Linked DNA regions of Coturnix japonica. The protein of the gene in region 2 purifies or fractionates together with the protein of the main gene of each other region. This does not show direct contact. Links are inferred from orthologs where the notes say so. Each region holds a gene or a part of one and is shown on either strand. Other genes may lie near its edges.

Region 1 (10,305 bases), on a different chromosome or scaffold from region 2:
TTTGTGAGAACTGCTGGAGTTTTGGGTGCTGCCTGAGGCAGCAGAGGAATGGAAGCTCTGAGCTTTGGTTGATGACTTGACCTGCTGGAGGAGGGAGCGTTGGGGCAATGGGGAGGAGGACTTGGGGTTCTGCAGTTTGACAAATGGAGCCGGAGAGGTGAAAGTTTTCTGTGGCTGGTTGCTTGAGTGGAAAACCTTCACCTGAGTACCTGGCACCGAGGTGGAGGTCTGAGGCCCATGGCTTGGTCGGACCAGGCTGTGGTGCTTCTGTTTAGCCTGGTGTATATCAGGAAGGATTTTGCTGGGGGAGGCTTGGCAGGAGAGCTCTTTATAATTAGAGTTCTCTGTCTTTTTGTCTTGGGAAGTTTGGCCCAATGCGAGGGCCTGTTCAGCCAGGAAATTTAGAGGAGACTGGAGGGAACCAGCAGAGGATGTTGTGGGAGCAGGGTGGGCCTTTGGAAATGTTCTCTTCTCTTCTGAGGATGCAATAGTTGGAATCTTCTCAGGTGGAGCTTTTGGAGCTCCAGGAAGAGGAAAGTCAGGGCTCCCTCCTGCTCTGCTGTTCAACACAGCCAGTTCCTTGGAGACTGCTTCAAGGGAGGAAGTAGGATTATGAATTAAATCTTCATCCAAAGAGTTGTCCATGAAGGCAGCAGGAGTAGTAGTGCTGTTGGCTGCTTGTGCTGTCCCAAGGGACAGGAGTTCTCTGGTCTGGGCACTGATGTTAAGACTTCCTGCCTGGGATTCTGATGACAGAGCTACGGTGTTGCTTGAATGTACTGATGGAACAGAAACAGCCACCTTTTTATCAGGTTTAGAGGAGAGTTCCTGGAACAAAATAACAACAGAAAGCAAAGTCAAAACAGAGGCAGAATGTAATGCTGAGAAGGGAAGGAAAGGTCCCTGATTTTGGGATGAAAGGTGTGATACCTGTCCGATGACAGGTACCCTCCTTCCAGGCTGGTACTCCTGCTGCCATCAGTTCTAGCTGCTGTCCTAATTCTTTCCTCAAGCACAGTGCAGACTGCTGCTGTTTAAGAATACAACTTCCTTACATCTATGCATAGATACAAAGCTCAAGTATAGGACCTAGGATGGCAGTCTCTCAACTACTGGGATATATCAAATGTGTGTACCAAAAAACACAGAACTCACCTTCCCCTTCACTTTAGTAGGAGCGACAACCTTCTTCTTCGCCCTGTTTCAAGGGAGACAAAGAAAACATGGGTTCACTGAGTGCCTGTAGGGAAGCATCCAGTCAGGGGCCCTGTTAATGATGATCCACTGAGTCTTTTGCAAAGAACAGAGGCAGCATCTCAGGTTGCTAGGATTCAAAATCGTATGACATTTGTTGCTGCCCTAGGAAGTCCCAGCTCCCACACAGGGGAACGATTTAGGGAGCAGAGCAGAGTATCTGAAATGGTTGCAGAGCAGTGAAAGCACTCAACAGACACATCCTGCATCAGCTGCAGGGCTACGAGCTACAGAAGCCCACTGCTGACCTAAATATAGCAACACCCAGAGAGAAATGGATACACAGGCTATTTTAGAGGGGAAAAAAAACTACACACTTCTTTTAGATTCCCAGAAGAAGTCAAAGATGCAAAAGCATCTGCCAAATTCATGGAAAATAGATCATTTGGTCTGGTCAGATGCAATCACCGGTACAAGACATCCCTGAGCTGCTGGAGAGGTATGGCTGAGGGAAGGATGACTCTACATTCTATTTCATACCCTTTCTCTGCTTCCCCTCATTCATCCAATGCCAAGAACAGGACCAGCTGTCAAACAGATACCAGCCTAAATCTATATCGTTGTCTGTTACATGCTGCCAGCAAGATCCATGAGGCCCTTAGGCCTTAAGGCACCTGCCCAGCTGGATTCCGATGGATCCCTTGGTTTGTCACCCACAGGTCTGTTTCTCCCATTCTCATTGCCTTGAGCTCATCGTACCTCTGCTTTAATCTGGCAGCAAGGAAGAGGGAATCCAGAATCCAGTAAGGATTAACTGAATAGGTGGCAATAAACACAGTGCTGGCACCACAGTCCATTTTACTCAACTGTCTCCCAGGGCCTAGCACAGAAGCCTGACTCCAGCCTGCTGAACAAGGCCAGGAGGCAACCTGGCATCAAAGGTCATTCTCTGAGCCTGCTGTAAGGCCCAGGCACCTCAGAAAGGCTTTTGCTGGGAGATGTCACACACCACTTCTCTCCTTAGACCTTCCCAAATGAAGCAGCGCCAAACTGTCTGACAGGAGCCAAACAAGCTCAGGTGTTCCTGCACGATCCACCCAGGCCCCAGGGAACGCAGATCACCAGTTATCACTCTAAAGGAATGCTGCACGATACTCACAGGACTGATGTGAGGTGTCCGTGTACACGCCTGCTCTCCTTAAACAGTGTCCTAAGAAGGGAAGAGAGCAATGAGAAGTGATATCCAGCAAGACCCAGTAGAGCAGCTGGGATCACTGGAGACAGAGCTGCACAGAACAGCAGGGGACTTAGTGAAATTAAAACCATGGAGCAAACAAATATTCATCCATTTTCAAGGAAAATCCTCTTGAACTCCCTCACTCCATTCCCTCACTGGGGAGCTAAGCTTGTAGGCGCTGGAAGGGCCATTAAGGCAGTGTGGTTGGACAGTAGCTAAGGAATGAGCTGACAGTCAATTGGAGAGACAGCACGGCCATTCAGGCTGAGTGTTGCTGCTACCAGAGATCATCAAGAGCTGGCAGATCATCCAGGAGCTCTCCACCATGTTTAAGGAAGAGAGGTTTCCTTTCCCTTCTTTATATATAGCAATATGGATGAGAAGCCTTCACACACTGCATTGCTGCTGCCTTTGCATCCCAAAAGACAGAAGTGCCTTTGCAAATCAGCAAAACCATTTCTTCAATTGTCTAGACACAACTAATAAACAGAACTTCATCCAAAAGCCATTAGTGTTAAGGATAAGTAAACCAGAATCTTATGCAAGCAATGTTTCACCTACAACAGCTGCCACTCAGCTGGTTTCTTAGATCAAGGTGAGCTTATAAACATACCATCAATGCTGGCATATGGAACACACGCTTTCCTTCTGCTATTATCATACTCAGTTTTTAAGGCAAGGAACTTTTGTCATCCATTTTCTTTTAAAAAGCTCACATACTTTAACCTTTTAGTCTTACATTAATTGCCTTTTAGTGCTAACCAAGAAAACAGAATCATGGCAGAGCCTCTCTGAACTCAAACACAAAGCTGACACTCCATTCCCCTTGAGGTTCCTTTTAAAGACGAACTCGTGAGCTCACAGTGACAGCAAATCAAGCTGATTTGTCCACAAAAGTGTTTACAGCTCTCCTAGTATCGCAACCCCTCCCCCCCCCCTCCACGTCTGCCTGGCTGGTAGGCAACACTCTGTCCTTAAAAGTCCCAAAAGAAAAAACATTGTCCTTTAGCCACTGAGAAGCAATTAGGGAAACCGCTTTTCTTCAGTCATTCCTGCACTCAGCTTCATTGGAAGATTCTCCTACAGTGAGTCTTGGAAGAACATCTGTATGCTTAATAACAGTTTTACCTACAAATTCAGGGAAAAGATTTCCATTTCCTTCTATTCCAAGAGGTTTCAAAGTTGGTGAGCTGAGACCACCCCCAAACTGGTAATGTCTTTATTAAGGAGGAGTCCGCACCCACTTTTTCTAATGCCATCCTTTAGCTCCCACACTACAGCACACTACAACCATGCGCAGTACTGCACCTCATGGACAAGTGCAACTGCAGTAAACTGCCATGGTAGTTTTCCAGATGGATTTGTAATTTGCTTCTCACACTTACTGCTCTTAAGAGCTGGTACCCATTAAATCATAAAAAAGTTCATCAGAGAAAAGATCATAGTGCTATCCAGGTCTGTAAGCGCAAAGAGACTGAAGTTCCAGCAGTAGGACTGCACACTTGTCATTGTTTTAAACCTAGTGAGCAAAACAAGGCAGGCCAGGAACTGATGACGCTCTCAATAGAATGATGCTCTGCAACTGGTGTGGCTCTCTGCAATCATCAGCTCAGTGACAAGGATGATAGACGGCATTTAAAAGCAGGAAACAGCAATCAAGACACGAATGTGATTTTCTTTACCCCTTCCCAATTCCTACTTATTCTGCTGCCTCTGTGCAAGTCCCACAGTTGCTAAAGTCTTTCACTTTGCTTTCTCTTGGGAACACTCTAAGCTCTAGGAAAGATTTCCCCAAGTGTCTGATAAGGTCTTTGGTGATACGGGTTCAGGAAACCACAGGCCTCAGCTCAGTGCCAATCCTGATTCATAACTTGTCACACCCAGCAGCACCCATCAGAGGTCAATGCCAAGGCCAAGACCACTCAATACTGTCACTAGCAACCTGGATGACAGACACACGCTGGACTCTCAGTAAGTTTGTGTAAGTTGTAAGTAAGACATGGAAACAGGGTGGGCAGGGTTGCCACTCACAGGGACCTTGACAGGAACCTTGAGAAGTTCAACAAAGACAAACACAAGTCCTGCAGCTGGCATGGAATAACCCCATGCAGACACACAGGCTCAGGGCCAACTTGAGGTTGTCCTTGAGTACAATCTGAACTCACTGCTTAAAGGGCACACGGCTGGAAGATAACTAAATTCTGGTGCCCAGCTAACAGCATGAGTGCTTACTCTCCTCTGTTTAGTACTTGTGAAGTTGCATCTGTACAGTGTCCAGTTTCAGGGCCCACACAATACAAGAGAGATGCTGACAAACTGGAGGCAGTCCAGAGCCCATGAGATGGCTGAGGACAGGAACACGTGACATGGAGAATATGAGTTTGCTCAGCCTGGAAAACCTTAAGACTAAAGAGGGATCTAACAGCAGTCTTCCACTAGTCCAAGAGTTCTGGGTACAGGGAGCCACAAAGAAGACAGAGGTACCTATTTCATTTTGCCATTTCAGTGCAGCAAGGGCAATTCAGATTGAAAATAAAGAGAAAAGACTTGTGAAAAGCGACACATATCAGAACAGTGGCCCAGAGATGCTGTCACAATCTCCATCCACAGAGACTTTCAAAACTCAGAAGGACACAGCCCTGACCGACCTGACCTAAGTTTGAAACTAACTGTTTTTTGAACAGGGATAGGACTAACGACCTTCAGAAGTCCCTTATGATAAAGAATCCCTAGAGTACAACATTATTCTTGCTCACCTGGCCTGCATCCAGCCTTTTGGCCATAGGGGCTTCACCTCTCCATCTAGGAAGGTCTTCACATAATCCTCCAGAGACTGAGCCTTATTCTTGTCATACTCATAACCATCCAATTTAATCTTCACCAAGTGGCAAAGCAGCTCCCTGAAGAACAGGAAGATTTCAAATACAGTTACTTGGATTTATTTTCCCCAGATGGAGGCCGTTCCACTTATCCAGGCTGGATGAATATGCCAAGACATGCCTGGCTGTGCATAAGTACTCTGGATCAGACAGTAGCCAGCCAAGTGCAGGATTCAAGTCGAGGCATTCCAAACACCTTTCTAACAAAAAAGTCAACCCTGCACTGCTTCTGTAAGAAAGAGGCAGGGAAAGGCACGTTTCTCTGTATGCATACGCATGCACACAAATGAGCCAGAGGAGAAAGGCCTTATACTCCATAATATCCTGAAACAGCAGAGGGGGTAAATCAGTGCCAGAATTACAGGCGTCACGAACAACTGCAGACCTGAACTCCTCTGCAGGAGTTTGTGCTGAGAGCAACGGGAAGGCAGGAAGTGAAGCCCTCTTTGTTCTAAATGTATCGGCCATCTATGGAGCAGCATCCCAATTTGTCAGAATAAGATGAAAAAGACAGCATGACTGATTCTCATTTTACCCTGCGTCATTCTCCCTTTCACCCAGCACTCTGTCAGACCCTTGGGTGCAAGGGCAGCAACTCCCAAGAGTTTAAAGCTGTTTTCACAACCAGAAATCTAATCTTGTTAAGAGTCTAGTTGGTGGGATTTCAGCATTCCGTCACGTTCCTTCTTTTCCTGTCCCCTCTCTTTTGACCTCTACATAGAGGTTTCTTAGCTCTTCTCTCAGAGTTGGTTTGTACTTGAAATTGGGTTCGTTTTACAGTGTATTCCAAGTTGAGATTTACTAACTGCAATAGTGGCTTCTGCAAGCTTCCAATCTGACTGTTACTGCAAGTGATTAGTCCTGCTCTGAAACCAAGATACAAATATTAAGGTGTCTTATTCTATGCAGTTGGAAGTGAAGCAAGTCACAGGTTCACTTAATATCTAAATTATGCGAACCTTATTTCATCATTCCATTGAAATTTCTTTCGTGGTCCCGTGACGCGTTTCCCTCCCTTTTCATCATCCTCATCATCATCAGAGCAAACTCGATCTCGCTGCTCTCTGTCCTTTTCCTCTTCCAGCATTCTAAAATAGAGATGAAGACAGTGTGGAAGTCATCGTCCTGGCTAATCCAAAACCAGGATAAATCTCCGAACAGTACTGTTCAGAAGTCTCACAGATGAGTGATAATAAGCTCTCAAAACAGGGCCTAAACCTCTTGCTTAAGGTGGAAGCTGAGCTAAGCACTCAGTGTTAATGTATTTCCCACTGCTGTGTAATAGAGACCACAGAGATCCAGCCTGTCTGCTTTCAGACTGACACGTTTCTAAAAACATGCCCGGGCAGAAGTGAAACACTTCAGCCAAATTCTGCTCCTATCAATGCTGCTGTAGGTGGCATCAGTACAGATAGTACAAAGAACACACACTGCTTAATTAGGGCGATTAACGGCTGTCAGCAATTCTGGAGTACAGGAAAAAAAAGTAGGTGATAAACTTCAGGAAAGCAGTTTACAGGGAACTTGTTGAGAAGAGTTACAGATGCATAACAAGCGAATGATGAGCTTACTTGACAAATTTGGCCTGAGTATGGGCTTGGCATTCCTCCTGGTACTTCGCCATCTGCTCTGGCATGGCTCTACCAATGGCTTCCTTCAGCTTCTGCAGAGGCTCCTTCAGTCGTCCACCCTAGAGCACATCACAGAACAGACTGAGGCTCCACACTGTGCTCCAGATAAGACACCCAAATTCAGCAGGATGAGATTTTGCCAATTCTGAACCCACACCACCAGATGGGGCGGACTAAAGTATGTTTGAGTGGAGGACAACAGCACACCATGCAGACAACAACTGTGCTCTGGAGATCAGGGTAACATGCATGGGAGACAAGGCTGTGCTGCCAACATCACTCACCTGCTCATAGAGATAAAGCTTACGGGCACGCTTGACTAGAGTGTCCTTACTGCACGGTAAGAATGCAGCCAGGTGGGTGTACACCCCTGACCGAATCTGGCTGTTCAGCTCCCTGGTCTGCAGTTCTATGCTGAAAAACAAGACAAACACAAACACTGAGCAGAGACCTGGCATGGGATCCCTAAGCAACAGAAAGGCAACTTTGGAACAACCTGGGGAGCTGAAGGCAGAGGGTGAAAGTTCAAGGCCAATCCATAGAATCATCACAGAATCTCTTCCAACCCAAGCCATTTCATGTTACAGACTTGCCTTTCCCCCTCCCCTCCCCCAGGTTAGGCTGCCAAGGGACCCATCCATGGCCTCAGGCACCTCCAGCTCTGGGCAGCAGTGCCAGGGTCTAACACTGGGATGCTAAAAGGTAGCAATCACCACTTGAAAGGAGAGGTAAACAGACTCCCCAACTTCCTGTCAGCAGCTCCCTTCAAGGGCCTTGATAAACAGAGGCATTGATTTCCTTAAGGCTGAAGTATTACACTGAGATGTTCACAAAGCTGCATGCATTCATCAGCCTTCTCCAGACACTTGAAGAAGAATGAAGCTATTGTCAGCAGCTCCTTGAAACTGCAGTGGCTTTCTACAATTGGTGGGCTCAAAGATACAGAGCAGTAATGGAGTTCCTCCCATCTTTACAGAATGCCAGCTGAATGCAGCAGCATTATTCCAGTTTAAAAATACTCCATACAGCACATAAATAGCAAAGAACATGCCTGACCTCTCTGACAGAATGAGATCTACTGTCCTTGTGTCAAGCTGAAAGAATTAAATACATGAATATGAAGCATTAGCTTGAAAACAAGAGGCTTAGATACAACTCCTCCAGCTTTCTCTTACCTCAAGTACACATATCACAACAGAAAGCCGTTTCTAGGAGACATTCATGATTTCCTAGGTGTGTTCTGTGTGGAAGGCCCACACCTCCTGCTAAACCTGCTCCTCAGTTTACCAAAAAGCAATGCTCTCCCCAGCATTCTCCTTTCCTTACGTTAGCCCCAATCCTCAACCCACACAGCACTTACTCCAGTATGATATTGTTGATGTCCTGAGTGAAGAATTTCTGTTTGCCTTCTCCCTCTGCAGCTCTCGCAGCCTGGAAAATAGAAGTCAACATTTCAAATACCAATATAGACGGGCATAAGGAATCAAAAGCTTATTTTAAAAACCACTTCAAAAATACTGCAAAACAAAGCAGAGTTATTTCACTGAGTTCTCCACCAAATACCTGCTTGTAAGTGGACTAAAAACTGCCAAAAATAAGGGATACCTCTTAGGTATCCTCAATTTGAGTCCAACTCTACCACCTGGGCTGGTATGGTCATGTCACATTCACACACCTTTCCATTCTGGATTCTGGATGTGCTGCTGTTGTGTACAGTGGAGCTGTAACATCATAGTCAAGACTCCTTTGCTTAAAGTGGGAAAGGAGATGGCTTAGAGGCAACTGGCTTCCCTGGCATTATTCTCATGGGAAGAAGGGACAGATTTAGGACACGGCCTTAACTTCCCGGTAGAAGTGTTAGATTGAGCAATAGAAACATAGAGCTTGTCCTGGAACAGGAAAGATCAGCCAAGTCACACTTAATGAGGGGCAAGGATACTTATCAGCATGTTTTCTAGGCCAGTCTGGACACCGAGTCAAGAAACAAATAGAAAGAACAGTAGCCACAGGGGATCTGTTATTTCCTGTCAACACCGTGGAAATTAAAATATCCTATTCAAGAAGCTTCCTGAGTTACAACAGCAGCTCACAAAGCATCGTCCCCCCCAAAAAAAAGAAATCACACCTATGAAAAACATGTCCAACAGAAAAATAATTCCAAGAGATGGATGACAGCAGAAAGGTGCCACAAAGAGTTCACAATCTGTTGAGTGTGGCAGAACCGATGTAGACAAAAGTGGGATTCACCACAGTGCACCATCATGTCAGGTTAGTGATTCCTTGCAAGGGAAAGGGGATCAAAGGAGAAGTAAAGGATTTTGACATCTCCTGATTTAACCTACTGAGATTCAGGCTGGTGAGCAGTAAGATTATGCCAAGAAGGTATGTACATTCCCGAAGCAATCTCCATCAGCAGGTCACAGAAGACTGGCAGTGCCAAAGGAGAAGGTTCAGTGCTGAAGGGAACCCTCAACATGAGAAGTCTTTTAGGAAGGAGAGGGTTAAAATGAAATCAGTGCAAGCAGAAGATGAAATTCCTGGAGAGTCCATTTAACCCATGAGCCGCTCCCATCTGCTGGGACAGAAGGAACCTGGTTCTCATGGCAGAGAGGCAGCTCTCCATTCCAACCCACAACAGAGCTCATGCCTCAAAGTCCTAACTGACCCATAGGCATTAAATCTTGCATTTCGTGCTCAACTTCTTATCTTAACAGTACAGAGTCCATCAACATGAGACACTGCAGCAGGAAAATCTGGGGTAGCCTGCTAATATACTATCTTAGAGCAGCATAATGATTAACTTAGTAGTATAGGAGATCCTGCAACACTGTTTCCTTGAGGTCCCTTCCAACCCGGGTAATTCTGTGATTCTGTGATTCTGTGACTGTTCTTTAGGTCAAACACATTTCAGAAGCAGGTGCTTCAGTGTTTGCTGTTAAGAGCATGAATAGCAAATAGCAACAGCCACAAAGAAGCCCACTCTTTTCATCAGCTGCTACTTTCTTCAGTTCCTGCTTCTGTTTGCTCACCACCACGTGCACACTGTGTTCCACTGAGAAATATTATCTTTAACAGGAGCTAATCTTCAGTAACAGGAGTCATTAAGCAAGAGATGCTGAAGAGATGCTGAATGGACACTCTAAATCTCCAGAAGGCAGAACTGCAGCACTACAGTGGTATCAGTACTGTTTATGACTTAAAATCAATATTTAAAGACAAGCCTAATAGTAGAAACTAAACATCTCAGCATCTGCTGACAGGCTGATGGGGACAGCCCTCACACATCAGAGGAGCCTACAGGCTGAAATCATACTTCTCTGACATGCCAGCAGAGGGATCCCTGGCCAGCATCCAACTCTTCCCC
Region 2 (10,305 bases):
GGGAATTTCTCAAGGAATTATCTTGGAAAGGTCAACAGAGTGGGCAACTCCTTTCACCTAATAATGTTTCTGCCCAGACACACACTGGGCACTGCTGGAACATACCAGATTTTATAACACACTCAACTGAACAACAGAGCAAAGAACAGCATTGAAACAGAGGGAGAAGGACTTAAGTAGTTCTTCATTATCATCTTTGTTTAATAGATCAGCTCTGTAAATATAAGCTGAAGTTATATTTAGCTCATAGCACAAAAACAATAGAAGTGCTACCTGTTTCAGTCTGCAGGTATAATCAAAATACCCAAATTAAGCAACAGCAGAACAGTCACAAACATCACAGCTGCAGGACCAAATGCAGGTAACACCAAACAGGCTGTGAGGGATCAACAACATTCCAGATGCCTAGCTGGGGAGAGATCACATCCTACAAATTTAGTTATCTTCACTCTTGAGTTTAGAAGAGATAAGTTTAACTGCAAAATTCAAAACTGAATTTTCATTTAGAAGACTCTCTGAAGTGTTAGATAATATTTACCTATAACAGAAAACACACAACCTTTAAGTAACACTTGGCAAATTCTGTTCTGTGAATTGAGCAACCATAAATCTAGTTAAAAACCTTTTTACAATCATTAAGATGAATGTGGAATCCCATTAGATTACACGTTTACAGATGTAACAGCACAGTTTTTTTCAGTCTGTGAATGATGTACAGTGTTATTGGATTGCTTGTCATTCTTCCTTCTTCAAATCCTAGGAGGAAAATAAAATAGTAGTGCAAGAAGCAAAGCAGGAAAAGTGGAAGACAGCAATTGTTCCTCTCAGTGAGAAGTCCAAAGAAGAAAGGGAATTATGACAGGAAGTAATCTGCTCAAGTTTATTTTCAGTTTTATACCAACACTCAGGAGTATATTCTTATTACTTGACAGATTTTAGAGAACTGCCTTCCAAAAGGATAATTAAATTTTTTATTCTAACACCTAGGTAAGCTGCCATTTTTCTTGCGTGTGCTGTTCTTCGTTATTCTTTAACAAAGTTCTCACAATTAAGACTCTTGAATATCACTTTGCTTACTGAACACAAGCAGGCGTGATTCTTAAACAGTCTTTTTGTAAAGAAATCACACTGAGATGTACTCTACAAGACTATGTACTCAGCACAATCACTTAATGGTTCTCTAGGCATGGCAGACCATTTACTAGCTTTCATTTAAGATGTCTGTATAGAACAAAAGTGGTTACTCAAAGATAACTCCTGCCTGACAAGAAGTCCTGTTTAGAAAGGATAACAAAGGAAAGGGGAGTAGAAAAAGCAAACCTTCACTATTCAGACCTAACTGACAAAGGTTGATGTACTCTGCAGAAGAAAAGTGGATTCAGAAATGTACTTTAACATGAAGACATTACCAATGTAATAATTTAATAAAGTGTTTTAAGATGGGTGTTGGCCATATGAATTTCAAAGTTGTTTTTTTTTTTTCCCCCAGCCTAAGATACTCTACAACACTTACATAGAACTTGAGAAGAGCACCATCTGAGTTGCAGCACCAGGACCTTCGTCCCAAATATTCATGAGCTGTGTTCAGAAGCATGAGTGAAGAAGGCAGCATAGGAGTATCAGGATTCACTGGAAAAAAAAGAAGTTGGCAGTTATTTTAGTAGTACAGAACGGAGTTAACTTCAACTACCCAATGCTTCATCGGGTGCAAAAAAATAAGTCTCTGGGATAAGAATGTCGTGCCTGTATATCCATCCACTCCCTTCAGTCAGCAGATGAGATGACAAACTAAGTAATTTTTATTTATATTACATAGTAAGATGGAGAGAAGTTCAGCTCCAGCATGTAAAAATGAATTTTAAAAAGTTACCTCCTTCTCCCTGGTTCTGCTGCTGCTGGCAGCAAAGGGATTGAAAAGCATCTTCTTCATGCTGGATGATCCTGTGTAGGATGATCCATGGAAGAACTGAGGAGACATACGGTTCTTTGGGTTCCTCCTGGACTGCCATGCTGCAATCTATGATCTAAGAAAGAAACAGGCATCACACACACAAAAAGATACAGATTAAGAGTCAGGAGTGAATCTTTAATGAACAACCCAAAGCTAATAGCATATTCTACCCTATAGGAGTAATCCTCAATTAAGTTTCAGCTTCTCACAATCAACAGGGAGAAGATGTTCTTCTCTTGCATAGTCATTTTTCCAATCAGTTCTCTCTGCTAATACCACATTCAGACTTTTCAAAGTGAATAAATGCACAGAAGAAAATATAACAGCTGGAGAGCACAGCCAATGTAAAAGATGAGTCGAAATCATTAACAGACACAGTACAAATAACTTACGTGAGTAAGAATGACTAAACCTAACAAAGTTACAAAATGCACTCAGCCAGCTAAATAAGTCTTCACATTGTTCTCATTACAGAGCATAAGAAAAGTTGTGTTCCTTTGGTTCTTTTACTACCATTCTTTAATTACACCAGGCAGATTTGTATTTGAAGGTATCCACACTCTTACTGATTCTAGAACAGGTGAACTCAGTGGCTCTCTAACACTCTGACTTGAAAATTAAAACAACAAAGACAATGTTCTTCTTTCCCTCTGTACCAGCAAAACTGTAACCCAAAATATCAGTGTGAATAGATAGCAGTTTGGACAGCAGCTGTACTCATGTCTGAATGTCCACAGAACATAGTGACTCTTTTCAAGTACCAGTGAACAGGTTACCTGAATCAGGTTGGTTGTTAATCGAACAAGGCTTGATGTTATAGAAGACTCTTTCAGGATGCTGTTGTCTGATGATAATGAACTATCTATTCCTATGAGCAGCTGTGTTACCGTAGCAACCCATTCCTCTTTAGCAGAGGCTGCCGTTATATTCATCATCTGCTGAGTTGCTTCATTCAAGGCAACTTCTGAGCATTCAAAGCATTGCTTGTAATCTTTCAGCTTAAGCAAAGAGTCCTAAAGAATGTAAACATGAAAAAAAAAAAAAAAAGATGAAGAGTATACTCTTAAAATAATTAAAATGAATACAGCAAAGGAAGGCTGTACACATCATACAGATAAGACAGTTCGTTACACTCAGTTGAAGTAAACACCTTCATATCACATTAAAGGACAACAGGATGAGTCCAGATCTTGGATGATAAATATACACGTAGAATATGAATTTCTACTTGAATAAGAGGCATGAAATACACATTTTCAAGAACATGATGCCTACACGTTTATTAAATTCTAACCATACACAGCTTATATTCTTAGGCTATCATTTAATTACTCCATAAATGTCAAAATAGCAACTACAAGGCCAGTATTACAACACCCTTCTTGATTCTTTATATTCAAGTGTAGGTAAATGAGATTGCAACAAGGCTGTTGGATTTGGCTCAGTCCAGCTAAAGCAGCATTAGTCTTTCTTGTGATTCTTTTTCCCCCAGACAGAAAACCTGACAGCTCCAACCCCTCCCACAACTGAGGTAATTTGTATGCCTATTTTCAGTATTATGTGGATTACTGATGCAGCTGTTATACTGGATCTATCTACCAACAGTTTGTCATCCATGCAGGACAGGTACGCCACAACACGAAACCACCCATACACTACACAGCTTTTTCAAAGCTTTGGGTTCAGAATGGCTGTAAAATCACCAACAAACCTGCAGGAGAAGCAGCTGTGCTGGTCTCTCTGGTATGGATGTTACAAACTCCAGATGTTTTACTCTTCCACTGAAGCATAATGTTGGGCGGAGCAGATGCACTACTGCAGCATAATCCCCTGTCTCATACAGTCGCTGGATCTCTTCCAAAGACTGGCATCTCTCCAGAGATTTTAAGTTTTTATCGATCTGCAAATATCACACATGGCACAATCCAATCTTCATTTTGTCTTCACACACAAAGGCAGTGCCCCTTCACCTCACACTTCAGCTATAAAGCTGTGTTAACTCTACAAATATGTCCAGGAATGCAAATCAGGTAGACAACACCTACTACGTAACTCTTCAGCTGTTCCACATACTTTTCTTTATCATATAGTATGTGACTAATGTGTAATAATACACTTTTTTGCCTCAGATCCCTGAATAAGACACTTAAAAGCAAAAATACGTCCATCAGATAGACTTTAAAGTGAAGATTGCACAACCTGCATTGGAGTTGACTCTCCTAAACAGCTAAAGAAAGAATGGAAAATTAATAGCCTTTTATTCAAATGTGTATGAAAATTACTATGTGGAAAACACCAGCTCCTAAAAAAAGAAACTCATTTAACCATCAGTGGAAGTTATATTCATAGAACAGAAAATAAAACAGTGGTTTAATAATCTACCACTGCACATGCAGTGCCTCTAATAGAAAAACCTTTTTATTCTGCATAAAAACAATCATAAGTTGTACAAAACCAAGAGATCTGAAAGGCATCTTCTTGAAGAAGAGATGATGGCCATAACATCATCATTAAACTCTGAACCTGTTCCTTTACTCTTGGAAAATTTCTAGGACAAAATTTCTAGGTAAGCTTTCATCACAAAAGAGCCGATTCATAGATTGGGCTTAGAGACTGGGAGGGGTGGAACAGGGAGAATACTCCTGCAAATGAATTCTTACCTCTTCTAAAGAAACCACAGAATCCACATGCAGATTAGGTAACCGTATTATGATGTTGCTGTCATCACCAGCTTTACGCCGCATTGTAGTGGCACTCTGCAGCATTTCAGTGCAAATGTCATAGTTTTCAAGTGCCTGTTCCATGTCTCCCTACAGAAGTACAGTGGGGGAGGGAAAATAGTAAAAAAAATAGAGTTATGTCTGCAAAATGTCTTTCCAAAGCACATACGAAATGTTTGGATTCAGTGTAGGCATTGCCAATGTGATTATTACACATAAAAACAAATCCAAAATAGCAAACCAAAGCAAGCAAATAAAGTATATTTTATCAGTGACTTTTGTAATAGGTAAAACAAATCAGAGAAATAGAATTCAACTTGAATTGGAAGGATTAATTTGGATTAAACTCCAACTCTTTTAAGAACACAAAAAAGTAATTAGTAGAAATAATTCTTCCAGTCATACTGATCAAAACACTGAGTCAAGAAACATCCTTGTATTCCACTAAGAGGATGCTTTTAACTGTCTTAAACTGATTTAACCCTCACACTTAAAATAAACTGAGAATAACATGACTTTCAATTGCTGAGAAAAGTTTTGTTATAACAAGAGTAGAACCAACCTGAAGCGCTAGAAAGCGAGCTTTCAGCCAATACACCCGAGTGACAAACTCCATCCAGCCCTCCTCAAATAAATCACGCTGTGAGGATGCAAACGATAACTGCAGCAGGTCTCCCAAGAAATGAATTCCAGGCAAGTCAGAACCAAACTTTCCGCTCACAGAGACAGCAGGGCAATTTCGTGGAGAAACTGTAAATCAATTATGTTTTATCATAAAGTTACCAGCATCCCATGAGAAGAGTCCCACATACCAGTTATTTAAAACCTACTGATCTACTCGAAGACAAATGACACACCAGTAATAAGCACCTTTCAGATGTGTATACAGAGAATATAGAAGAGACAGCTCCAAAGAATCCAGTGAATTCCTGGAATAGTTTCTTAATTTACCTACAGTATTTTTAGAATAGAGAAAGAAGCACCTGACTCTCACCTGTAGAGTTCTTCCCTTTTGCCAGCAGCCACTGATCTAATTGCAGTTCCATGCAGGAAAGGCTCATCAACATCATATCCTGCAGAAAAAGTGTGAAGTTGGGAAAAAAGAGAGAGAAAAATTAAAAATAGTCATCGTTCCCATGACACTGAATATGCATTCTAGTCGTACCAGTTTATTAATGCATGAATGATAAAGTTCAGCAGTACACTAGAAAGCACCGTGGGTATCTGTCAGGCAGTTTTGTGTAGTGAAGAATATACTTTATATTCATAGAAAGAAGGGTTACAAATTCATCTGTAAAAGCCATGAACTTATGACAATTTTTAAAGGTCCAAAAGTGCACAGTATCAGAGTAGCATTCTGGATTCTCAAAACCTCCGAATTCATCACATTTAGTATAATTTACAGATCAAGTTTAATAAACTCAGGAATTAAAGGGAAAAGACAAGCATGAGGACAGTGATTTCAATGGCATCATAATGAAGTATTGACTCTTTAAATTTTACCTAACACGAAGTTATAAGACATATTTGAATTTGTTAAAAAAAAGGATGTATATACAAAAATACACAAATATACAATAGCACTAGATGTATAAAATTTGGACATCCAATACACAACAACACTGTATTTTTGTGTGTGTGTTTTTTTTTTTTTAATCTAAAAATCAATGGAGCACAGAGTTCTGAATTTGTTTTTTCATCTGCAACTAAGTAGAAACAATACTGATATTAAAAATAAATAAATAAATAAATAACCTTGATATGCTGATTACTTGAGTCCCTCAGTAAAGGATTGGGAAGACTTGTACTGTGCTTTCTCCAGCTAGTATAGATAGTAAGGACAACCTCAGACAAGCCAGGAGGCCACTTCACCAGGAACTTCTGGCTGATAACCTTCAGATATCTCATCATTAGCTCCAAGATACCACCATTGTTCAAGTTATCCAGCAGGAATTCATGAACATCTTGCTTTTCTAGAAAGCAAATAAAAGCAAAGCTGTGCATAACTAAGATCAAGATAAGCTGTGACCTGAAATAAGTTAGTTTTGACAGTGTTTTATGCACTTACAAAAGGGCCACAGTATCATCTTGTGCTGCAGAGGCAGAATTAAGTTACTGTGCTCTGATATGTTTAAATGGGCAACTCCATGCAACACAGTGCTTGCACACAGTAATTAACCAGTCCCCAAGACTTCAAAATCACATTACTAATTGAGATTAAAGTACAATTATGTGATATTAAAACATACCCTTTCATATCCTTCTTCCATATATAAGACAGGGAATACAGAAAAGCATGCAAGACAGAAGAACCAACAGGAAAAGAGAAGTTCTAATGAGTTCTTTACCAGATTCCATGAATGTCGTAGAATCAAATGACATTCTATGAGGTCCAACATGTTGGAAATTCTCTTCTTTAATTTCTGACTGCACCTCATAGTTATTGAAAGGGTCCTCCTCCTCCTCTGGATCTATTTTCCTTAATCTGTGTTGAAAGGAGGACAAAAACACTATACCAACAAAATCCTCATTCTTTCCTTCACTGTTAAGTCAAACCTAAGCATTGCACATTGTACATATTTTATCGATGAAAGCACAGTAACTGAAGCGCACTCAGAGATAAAGTACTGACAAATTTTGTTGAAACCAAGACTGCCCTGTTTGTTGATCTTGCACAATTTGACACCTGCATTTTCTTCTAATCGTCTCGCCTTACAAGAAGCTTCATCATTTTTGAATTAGTTTTCAATAGGTTTTCATTAACAATTTTATAACATGTATAAGATTGAAGGAGAAGAATCCTTCCAAAACAAATCGGGTCTAGCAGGTTTAAGGTCCTGTACCTGGAAGGAAGGAATTTCACCAACAGCTCTTGAAAGTCAACCTTCTCTTCTTTCTTACACTTTGTGTTCCGAACTCTGGCAGATCTCCTTTTTGCTGTTTCACCGCTATCTTCTGTAATTCTTCTTCGCTTCACCCCTTTCTTGGATTTATCTCCTGCAGATATATCACCTAAAAACAGAATTGAAAAAAAAGAAAAAAGAAAAAAGTTACTGACCTGTTAAATTATCAAACAAGAGGGAAGCCCTTTTAGGAAAATAATAAATATTAATAAAGATAAATAAAAAGATGATTTGTGGCTAAAACTATCTTACTCTAATGAAATACTGAAGATTTATCATTTTCTTTTTGAACATATCAAAACCTTAAAAACACAACTGAATATAAACTGGCTGTGGTATCTTGAATAAAAAAGCTGGTCTGCAGTAAGTAGACTTGCTGAAAACTATGCAGTTGGAAAAACATATTTAATCTTAAGCTGAGGTACCTTGCTCACCTACAGTAGCTCCTGGTTCCAATGAATTCTGGCTGTGGCTTGGAAAATTGAGTGTCACAGGAGTATAAGCTAACATAGGTTCTGGCATCGTCACCACTGCAGTAGTGCTGACAGGAGTTGGCTGAATAACACTGACAGGAGTGGAGGTAGGAGAAAGAACCAAATGCTGAACAGGTTCTCGGTATTCTGAGAGATCAATTCTCTTTCCCAGACTGGGCCGAGGAGGATCACATGTTGTGAGGTGGTGATACATGGCGAGTAAAGCTTCTCCTAAACATTTCCATCTGCACACAGAAACACAACACTACAAAAATCAACCCTTTGTGCCTTAATAGAGATGTACTTAACAACTTGAAAGTATCTTGCTATGAATAAAGATCTGCATTACGTTTTAAAATTTCCATTATATCAACAGTAAAAACATATAAAAATCTAAAGTTATTTTGAAGTTCACACACTAATCTAAAATGAAAAATCCGATGATACAGTTGGAATGGCTACCAAATCATTCTCAAGATTCTTTATCATCAGTCTGAAATGTTAAATCAAAGACTGAAAATTGATACATTTACAATAAAATCATAAACAGACCAAACAACCGGCAGACTCAAAATATGAAAATACTGGTCACCTTTTTTAGTGCTTTTTTTTAACAAATATGTTTTGACAAAAACCAAGCTTATACAAAATAGCTGCCAGCATAAGTAGCTTCAGATAAACCTGTTATAAACTAAATATGACATACGTGAGAAAGGGAATTGGCTGGATCAGCTTGAGGTCTGGTTCTTTCTCTTGCACCAGCAAAGCCTGTCTTTTCTTACGTAGCTCCAATGCTTCATCTATGATTCTTCCTGTTTCAGCTGCACTCACATTTACATTATGGATAGACATGTCACTAGAAAGTATTAAGAAACAAAGATGAGGGTTTGTTTGCTTTTTTAAAAGTCTTGAGAGATTTGTATTTTTCTGTAGGGTATCACAAAGCATTAAAACGAGCATTCAAAACATTCAAAACCCACTGTTTTGCAAACTTTACAGCATGCATATAGAAGTGTTTCACCATCAGAAACCATTGCTCAGTTAAAAACTGAAAGATAAATGGAGAGCGTCCTTCTGTTTTACAAATGGTGAGAAATGAAAGGAAAACAGAAGTTGCTGCTTTCTTTCTTGAAGAGTAAATAAAAAAAAATAATAAATGAAGTGTATGATTAAAAGAGTTGACACTCCAAATGCAGTGCAGGCTATAAGATAACATTCACCATTTGAGGAACATCCTTAAGGATTCTTTCTGGAGGAGAGGCTGCTCCTCGAAGATCTTCTCCTTCAGAACCAACCCCTTGCTGTACAGACAATCTTTCTCCAAGGCTTTGCAGATAAAGTACAAACATGCTGACAGAGAAATAAAAACGGAAAGGTCAAACTCTTCTTTCACCATTCACTATTTTCATATTATTAACTGTCTTAATTTCACATTCCATTGCTGCAATGGGCAATGAATTCCAGCAGGCTTTTATTCATATGGGCAATTACATAAATAAAATGAGGATCATTACAGTAGGGCAAACCTATGGGACTCAGGAAACTCAACATTTCTGCTATCTTGCAACTTTTCTGCTAAACACCATTTGAATCAGTTAACTCACTGGACATCACTCAAAGGTAAAACGCTTAAACATTTTAAGATCAAAAGCAGAGATCCAATATCAAACTGATTTACAATTCCTGATAAACACTGCACAGGGCATTTATTTTCCTGGTAATTAGAGCAGATACAAATCATCATAAATTCATCATGAAGTAAAGATCTCCAACACACCCTAACCTACTATCATTTCATGATTTTTAATATGAAATTACATGTTTATTGATTTTTTTCTTTACAGGTCTACTAATGTACTTACTTGGGTAATCGCTGAGTGTGTACAAGATAGTGATAAGGTTATCTAAACAAGGCCAGTGATCAGGGTTACACCTGAGACCTTCTTCAAAAGCATGACGAGCCAGCGGTAGGCGGATGAGTTTTATTGCCACACGACCGATTTTATACCACAGGTTGACATCAGTAGAGTCCAGCATTACAGCCTAGAAAGCATAACAGACAGTGTTATTCACATTTCAGACACGCATACCTGCTTGTTTACAGAGACCTTGACCGCTTTAATTTTTAACTGAGACATGACTAGCTTAGGGACTGAATGGTGGCTGTAAAATATCAGAAAGTACACAGCACTGAGTCACACATACAAATGATGTTTGCTGAAAAGAGTACATCTGTATTTTGGCAAATTGATGGAAAC

The links.
Region 1: the proteins of CABIN1 (region 2) and UBN1 purify together in Homo sapiens (affinity purification with western blotting; 6 studies listed by BioGRID, with this or other methods). This does not show direct contact. The link is inferred for Coturnix japonica from reciprocal best matches to the Homo sapiens genes CABIN1 and UBN1.

What each region holds. Positions count from the first base shown.
Region 1 is NC_029529.1:11,634,692-11,644,996, reverse strand, and holds part of UBN1 (ubinuclein-1), read right to left. Parts: intron 8,373-10,305; coding exon 8,302-8,372; intron 7,356-8,301; coding exon 7,226-7,355; intron 7,001-7,225; coding exon 6,882-7,000; intron 6,399-6,881; coding exon 6,270-6,398; intron 5,332-6,269; coding exon 5,188-5,331; intron 2,405-5,187; coding exon 2,354-2,404; intron 1,199-2,353; coding exon 1,156-1,198; intron 829-1,155; coding exon 1-828. UniProt on the Homo sapiens protein: Acts as a novel regulator of senescence. Involved in the formation of senescence-associated heterochromatin foci (SAHF), which represses expression of proliferation-promoting genes. Binds to proliferation-promoting genes.
Region 2 is NC_029530.1:7,169,237-7,179,541, reverse strand, and holds part of CABIN1 (calcineurin-binding protein cabin-1), read right to left. Parts: intron 10,091-10,305; coding exon 9,910-10,090; intron 9,398-9,909; coding exon 9,268-9,397; intron 8,904-9,267; coding exon 8,754-8,903; intron 8,293-8,753; coding exon 8,000-8,292; intron 7,684-7,999; coding exon 7,515-7,683; intron 7,157-7,514; coding exon 7,020-7,156; intron 6,645-7,019; coding exon 6,427-6,644; intron 5,745-6,426; coding exon 5,666-5,744; intron 5,422-5,665; coding exon 5,234-5,421; intron 4,762-5,233; coding exon 4,612-4,761; intron 3,852-4,611; coding exon 3,663-3,851; intron 2,965-3,662; coding exon 2,728-2,964; intron 2,025-2,727; coding exon 1,871-2,024; intron 1,630-1,870; coding exon 1,514-1,629; intron 1-1,513. UniProt on the Homo sapiens protein: May be required for replication-independent chromatin assembly. May serve as a negative regulator of T-cell receptor (TCR) signaling via inhibition of calcineurin. Inhibition of activated calcineurin is dependent on both PKC and calcium signals.